Linked DNA regions of Mus musculus. The protein of the gene in region 2 purifies or fractionates together with the protein of the main gene of each other region. This does not show direct contact. Links are inferred from orthologs where the notes say so. Each region holds a gene or a part of one and is shown on either strand. Other genes may lie near its edges.

Evidence for each region. Proteins that work in one complex are often made in the same cells at the same time.
Region 1: the proteins of Ptpra (region 2) and Src purify together in Homo sapiens (co-immunoprecipitation; 4 studies listed by BioGRID and IntAct, with this or other methods). This does not show direct contact. The link is inferred for Mus musculus from reciprocal best matches to the Homo sapiens genes PTPRA and SRC.

What each region holds. Positions count from the first base shown.
Region 1 is NC_000068.7:157,465,779-157,469,295, forward strand, and holds part of Src (neuronal proto-oncogene tyrosine-protein kinase Src), read left to right. Parts: intron 1-94; coding exon 95-250; intron 251-1,652; coding exon 1,653-1,832; intron 1,833-2,704; coding exon 2,705-2,781; intron 2,782-3,346; coding exon 3,347-3,500; intron 3,501-3,517. UniProt on the Homo sapiens protein: Non-receptor protein tyrosine kinase which is activated following engagement of many different classes of cellular receptors including immune response receptors, integrins and other adhesion receptors, receptor protein tyrosine kinases, G protein-coupled receptors as well as cytokine receptors.
Region 2 is NC_000068.7:130,551,261-130,554,800, reverse strand, and holds the end of Ptpra (receptor-type tyrosine-protein phosphatase alpha isoform 2 precursor), read right to left. Parts: intron 2,663-3,540; exon of another isoform or gene 2,605-2,662; coding exon 2,469-2,604; intron 2,449-2,468; exon of another isoform or gene 2,366-2,448; intron 1,960-2,365; exon of another isoform or gene 1,885-1,959; intron 1,408-1,884; coding exon 1,333-1,407; 3' UTR 501-1,332; downstream 1-500. UniProt on the Homo sapiens protein: Tyrosine protein phosphatase which is involved in integrin-mediated focal adhesion formation.

The sequences.
Region 1 (3,517 bases), about 27 Mb from region 2:
TGTGCACATGATACATAGAGCCGTACACACAGGGCAGGGAAGCCAGCTTGCTGTGGGACCCTGCCTGAGCCCCATTCCCTGCCTCCATCTCCAGAACATGCTGATGGCCTGTGTCACCGCCTCACTACCGTATGTCCCACATCCAAGCCTCAGACCCAGGGATTGGCCAAGGATGCGTGGGAGATCCCCCGGGAGTCCCTGCGGCTGGAGGTCAAGCTGGGCCAGGGTTGCTTCGGAGAGGTGTGGATGGGTAAGGAACACACGCCCCTGTCCCCATCCCAGCTCAAAGACCCTGAGTCCCTCTCTTTAATTGTCTCTACTGAACAACTGGGCTGTTTTTCATTTTATTGTTGAACATTAACTGTACAAATTGTTACACTTGTTACAATTGTTTTCCTGTGACACTTTGAACCCCGCATGTAACATACTTGGCTCACTTCCAGTCCCTCACCCCACTCCCTGCCCCCCACCCCACGCTATGACTCACCAGGGTCAGCACTGAGGTGGGCTCCTGACTCCTTGTAACCCATGCTGCTGAAGATGAAGACTAGGGCATCTGTGTACCAGCCGCACCTGGGGACTGGGCACCACGGTCCTCAAGGGCCTGAGTGAGTGTGGTCAGGTCTCACGCCAAGCCTCAGCCTCCCGATGTGAAGAAGGGGCTGATGCCAAGCTTCAAGGGGCATCTGCATATTAGTTCAGCACAGAAAGAGACAGCGCTGTGCCGTGCGGAGGGAGTGGTGGGAAGTCAGTGTTCGGTTTCCTGTCTAATTGTGCAGCCATCGAGAGGCTCCTGGAGCATCGAGCTGCCTTAGCCAAACCCAGGCTCCCTGCTATGGCTGCTTCTACCCGGGTACCCACGAGTAGAGGGGGACTATGGGGCTGTAGTGGCTGTTGCCGTTTCACCATCTTCCTTTCAGAGGGCACTGGAGGGGCCGGGTCAGGTAGGCAAGGGAAGTCTTGGGTTGTGAGGAGGAAGGTCAGAGGGAGAAGCCAGCTTTTAAGGTGAGACCAAAAGGAGGGTTTGGGTAGAGCCTGAGTGAGCCACGGCCTTGGTCTTTCTCAACCTCATCTATGATTCTTGGTGTGTGGTGGGAATCTGAGGGCTTCCCACCTTTCCCTGGAGCTCTGCGCAGACCAGCAACCACCGGGAATCAGGGCATCCGGCCTGACCCGACACAGCTAGAGAGCTGACCCAGTCTACCCTCTGACCTGTCTCTGTGACAGGGAGGTCTCCCTGCCTAATGCAGCACAGGCACTGAGCTGACCTCTTGCCCCCAGTGACCCCAGACACAGCCCTCTCCCTCCTCTGACCCGTGCTGTGGTTGCTGGTGCCTCGGGTACTGACTACCCACCCATCAGGCTGCTGTTCGGCTTCCTGTCCTGTCCTAAGCAGTCAACATCCTAGTAGCAGTCACATTGTGAGCAGGCTCCAGACACACAGTTCACAGCCCTGGGAGGGGTCTCCATTCCCTGAGCCTATTTAATAAGTGTGAATGGAGAGTCTCAGCGTGGTATCTGGCCTTGCCCAAAGCCCATGCCCTGAGTTCAGAGGCAGAGATTGAGACAGGCACTTGTGTGGACTCGCCTGGGTGGCCCCAGTGCAGCAGAATGATAGCCTGTGCTCATGTTCCCACGTCTCTCCCCGACAGGGACCTGGAACGGCACCACGAGGGTTGCCATCAAAACTCTGAAGCCAGGCACCATGTCCCCAGAGGCCTTCCTGCAGGAGGCCCAAGTCATGAAGAAACTGAGGCACGAGAAACTGGTGCAGCTGTATGCTGTGGTGTCGGAAGAACCCATTTACATTGTGACAGAGTACATGAACAAGGGTAAGGTCTGAGCCCGGGGTGACCTTTTCAGGTGCCCACGCAGGGCGGGCCAAGGGCAACTTACTCCTTACCCCAGACCACCCCAATGAGTGTACGCTACATCAGGGACTGACTGCCTCTCTCCTTTTGTAAATAATAACAAATCTAGTGGGTTTTTTTCTAAAAGACGGCTTCTTTTGTCCTTTCCCACTGTCACGATCCCTGTTGTTGCTGGTTTGGTGGCACACACCTGTAATCTCAGTGCCCGGGGGTTGAAGCAGGAGATCGTGAGTTTGAGGCCAGGCTGGGTACATAGCAGGACTGTCTCTGTCTTGGTAAGCAGCAGTGTGGGGCTGAGGTTGTAGCTGGGTTGGTAGAGTGCTTTCCTAGCTTGCACAAGGCCCTGGGTTTGGTCTTAGGTTTGATCCCCAGTACTGCAAGAATTAGGCACACACCTGCAATCCCGGCACCGGGGAGATAGAGGTAGGAGGGTCAGGAGTTCAAGGTCAGCCTATAGAGTTGGGTTGCTTGAGACCCTGTCTCAAAACAAAAATATATGTACAGCATCCACATTACCTACCCCAGAGTTCCCTGCTGTCCTTAGTGCTGTGACTCTCCATCCAGCTTCAGCCTCAGGCAGCCACTGGCTAGCCGGGTTTGGTCCTGATAAACCTGTTTGTCTTGGGCTTTGCACATGATCTTTTGCATCTTATAACCCCCTGTTGTGTCTGCCTGACCTCCTCCCTACCCCACTTACTCCAAGGGCCCAGTAGCATTCCTTGATCTAGCTCCCTGGAGTCTTGGCCTTTGAGCAGCCCTGGCCAGGGTCTGGAAGCCACAGTTTCCTGCACAGGGAGACCCAGGCAAGGCTAGAGCTGGATCTCTCTCTCCAGGGAGTCTGCTGGACTTTCTCAAGGGGGAAACGGGCAAATATTTGCGGCTACCCCAGCTGGTGGACATGTCTGCTCAGGTGAGTCTCCTCTTCCACCTTCCTACACCTTTGGCTCTCGGGCTCAGTGCGCCCCCTTCAGGATGCCTGCTTTCATTACACCAGACTCTCACCTGGCAGGCGCCTGGGGTGGTACGCCACATCTGGGAATCAGAGGCACATACACATAATTAAGAATAAAAATAAAATATTAAAAGTTTAAAATTTATTACTTCCATTTGCTAGATGAGGAAACCGAGGGACAGAGAGGGGTCTTGGGACAACAGGCAGGACCTGGCACGCATCTGTGTCTATGGGTCATCTGGGGCCTCTTTTGTATATACTCGCCTGCCCGCCTGGCTGTGTCTTATTGTGACCTCCCATTGCCCTTTGCTGTCCCCTCTCCCCCTGAGCTTTGGTCTACCTTTTCAAGCCAGTGCTGTTTATTATAAGCTGAATGAAGTTCCTTGCTTGAAAAGACACGAGGTGGGCAGGGTGTTTGGGCATCCTTCTATCCTTCTATCAGGAATAACCAGCCCGAGACACCGGCTTACAGCACTGGGACGGGTGTGGGTTAGCCCCTGAGCCAGGCTCTCTGTCTCCACAGATCGCTTCAGGCATGGCCTATGTGGAGCGGATGAACTATGTGCACCGGGACCTTCGAGCCGCCAATATCCTAGTAGGGGAGAACCTGGTGTGCAAAGTGGCCGACTTTGGGTTGGCCCGGCTCATAGAAGACAACGAATACACAGCCCGGCAAGGTGGGGGTGCCTGGGGG
Region 2 (3,540 bases):
CTATTAAAGATGGTAGAGAATCCCAAATCTTAAACAGCACTGCAGTAGAAATAACAGGACACCCAAACCTGAGAGAGAGAGAGAGAGAGAGAGAGAGAGAGAGAGAATAGCCCTCATAGGGTCATATATTTGAATATTTGGTCTCCAGGTACTGGAGGAAGTGTATCACTGGGGCTGAGCTCTGAAGGTTCTAAAGCCCACGTCCTTCCCAGGCTCTGTCTGTAAGCTCTAAGGTACTGCTTCAGCACCATGACTGCCTGCCTGCTGCCATGCTCCACCATGGTGGTCACAGACCCACCCTCTGAAACCCTGAGTCTCAGATTTACTTTCTTCTATGAGTTGCCCTGGTCAAGGTACTTTATCACAGCAACAGAACAGAGATTAATATACTGTGCCTCAAAAACAAGCCGAAAGGAGAGCCCTAACTCTCGAACAGTAGTGTGCTGTGGCATGTGTGTGCCCACACGTAACACCCATAAATAAATACAACTCCGGAAGAACATTTAAAACTTATTCTGGACAGAAACTAGAGAGGCCAAAATGGCCTCAGCTCAAGCCTGCAGCAGCTCCTCTGTCCCTGGTGTCTCTTTCTGTAGAGAAACTCAGTGAGACCCTTGCTGTCTGTCCCAGGGAGCAAAGCTGGGTGGGTGGCTGGGATAATTATACTTGATAGAAAAGAGGACCTGGAAGACACCAGCCAACAGCAGGGCTAGGAACAACCCAGGAGAGCCCCAGCTTCATAAGACTGCTCTGCCCAAGACAAAGGGACCGATATTTCCTCAGGGAATCAAGAGTGTTTATTACCTGACGATCCCTGCTGTGGTGCCAGAGAGGCGCTCTGGTCTCATTACTCCCCATGCCTGAGGTGGCTGATCTTGGTGGGAGATGAGGGTGGACTGGAGAGGGGAGGGATATTTACAGGACAGGGAGGGGAAGAGGCCTGCCTGGGGACAGGGAGACAACCATTTCCTCAAGAGCTCTGAGAACTTTGTGCTTTGTTTTAGTTGGCACTGAGCTACCTGGAATGAGTCTTAGGTTTATCTTCTTTAGGAAAAGATATTTGAAGCAAGGAACAATCTGGCCCAGTTTCCAGGCTGAGGATTTCATTATATCAACCCAAATATCACACTATTTAATTTCCCAATAAAACACTGGAAAAGGACTATCAGTGCTAACACATTTACATACAAAATCTCCACCTAACAGGTAATAGAAGCCTATGTGCCATTTCTAAAACAGTTATAAGATATATACAATTTTGGGTATATTAACAAAAACAGAATATTACAAAATATTAAAGGCAATTCTCCTGTCTGTGGGCCTTGTCACCTGTCACTTGAAGTTGGCATAATCTGAAAAGGCGTCAATGTACTCCTGTACCACCTTGTAGCAGAATTCATACTGTTCCTGGAACACAGGCAGAGGCAGGAAAAACCAGTTAACAGAGGATTGCTGAAGCCCCTGCCCCCTTTCTAAAAGACATGTCACTCTGTATCCTTGGCTGGCCTGGAACTCCCTATATAGACCAGGCTATCTTAGAACTCTCTTAGACCTGCCTACTTCAGCCTCCTGAGTGCTGGGAATAAAGGTGTGCACCACCATGCTGGCTTAGCAGACCCAGTTTTTAAAGTGGAAAATGGGGAGGAAAAAGGATGTTTTTGGACTATAGTAGATCTTCTACAGGCAGGGCTGACCAGACATGTGAGGGCAGTCCAAGGTCCTGCAGGTCAGATGTAGGTGTGCCAGGCTGAACACATGGCATCTAGGGTGGTACTCAGCTTGCCCAGGCTGCTAGGCTGACATGAATCCTAACATCCAAAGCTTTATCTCCTCTCAAATCTCCTAAAACTAACATTTCCCCTCAAACCTTTCTAACTTAACAAGATTCGGGAAAACCTTTGTGGATACAGAGACTGTCAAGAGTCAGACTTCTGAACAGGAAAGCCAAGCAAAATTAAGGTAGGCACTTCTGTTCACTCCTTACCAGAACTCAAAGTAGAGTGTATGTGTGTGACGTATGTGGGTGATATTTGGATACGTAGGAAGTCTTCAATTGCTCTCTATCCATTCCCTGGAGAGAGGGTTTCTTACTGAACCAGAAGATGGCTGTTTCAGCTAGACTGGCTTGTTCAGTGAGCTCTTGGGATCTGCTGTGCCCTCAATATTGGGGTTACAGGTGCATACACCCCATCTAGTTTTGTATATAGGTATTGGGGGGGGGTCTGAACTCAAATTTTTTGTGCTTTCAAAGCAAGTCCTGTTACCCACTGAACTATCTCCCAGCTCCCAGGGACTTCCTTCTAATCTCTTCTATTTCTTCTGGTTATTCTTCTGCTGTGTTCCCACTCTGGCCCTGCTTCCCAAGACACTCCCTGTCTTTTGAGTCTGCGGAGCTCCCTGAAGGCTTGCTCCTGACAGGGAAGAGCTACGGATAGTGTACCGACACAGGTAAAGACATGGAAGCTTACCAGTGTCTGGACCATGTGTGGCCTCTGCAGCCGCAGGCTCTTGACAGTTTGGAAGACATCTAAAATTCCTTCTGCTTTCACACGTTCCAGGACTGTGCTCAAGGCACAGAAGGTTCCTGTCCGTCCTGCCCCGGCACTGAAACAGAGCAGATACACTTACCACACCTGCTGCCTGAAGCTGTCCATTCTGAGGGGTGAGTTTGCTGAGGAGGAGCAGGCTGAGGCTGACTCTGGGAAGGTATCAGTGGGACAGGACACCCGTGCTCACCTCTGCTGCCCTTCCTGTGTGCACTGAGCATGTGCCTGTGGGACCACTGTGACAACTTTTACACACCCTGCCAGCCTGACTCCTTGCTGTCTGCACACGATGACTAGTTGTCTCCACCAGCTCTGACTCAAACTTTCTGCGCTGGTGCTTTGCTGACTTCTTTCCATTCTTTCTAAGGAATCCAAACTTCCCTCTTGACATGATCCATTTTGACCAGTATTACCAGTTGATTCCCTTAGGGAACACTAAGTACCTGTTCCATGGCAGGACGCTCAGGACAGGCTCTCTGAAGGGATGCTGTGTGCAGACACCAACGTGGCTGCTCTCTGAAACAAGTTCTAAGGGGGAGGGGGTGCGGACAAAGTGTGTACCTGGATTTGGTACATAAGGAAAGGGAGATCGGTAGCTTTGAGATCAGAGCCCAGGAGAATGCTGGGGACACTTAGCTCACTGGCCTGGCGAGGAGACCTCACATCACACTGTGCCCTGTTGGGATTCTAGTTTGGAGTGGGCCAGTCTTACTGATTTCTTTTGTAAAAATGTGCAGGCTGCAGGGTGTGGGGCATGCATAAGCCATAGAGTACACACGGAGGTTAGGAGACAACCTTTGGAAGTCGGTTGTTGAGGCAGACACTTGGTTTTTCCCACTGCATAGTTAACACCATGATAGTTGGCCCGAGAGCTTCTGGCCACCTCTTCTGCCTCAGCCTCCCATCTCACTGTTGGAGGGCTGGCATCAGAGTGCTGGGGTTCCACATCTGGCTTTTTATGTGGGTCCTGGGGATAAGACTTGGGCTGTCAGGC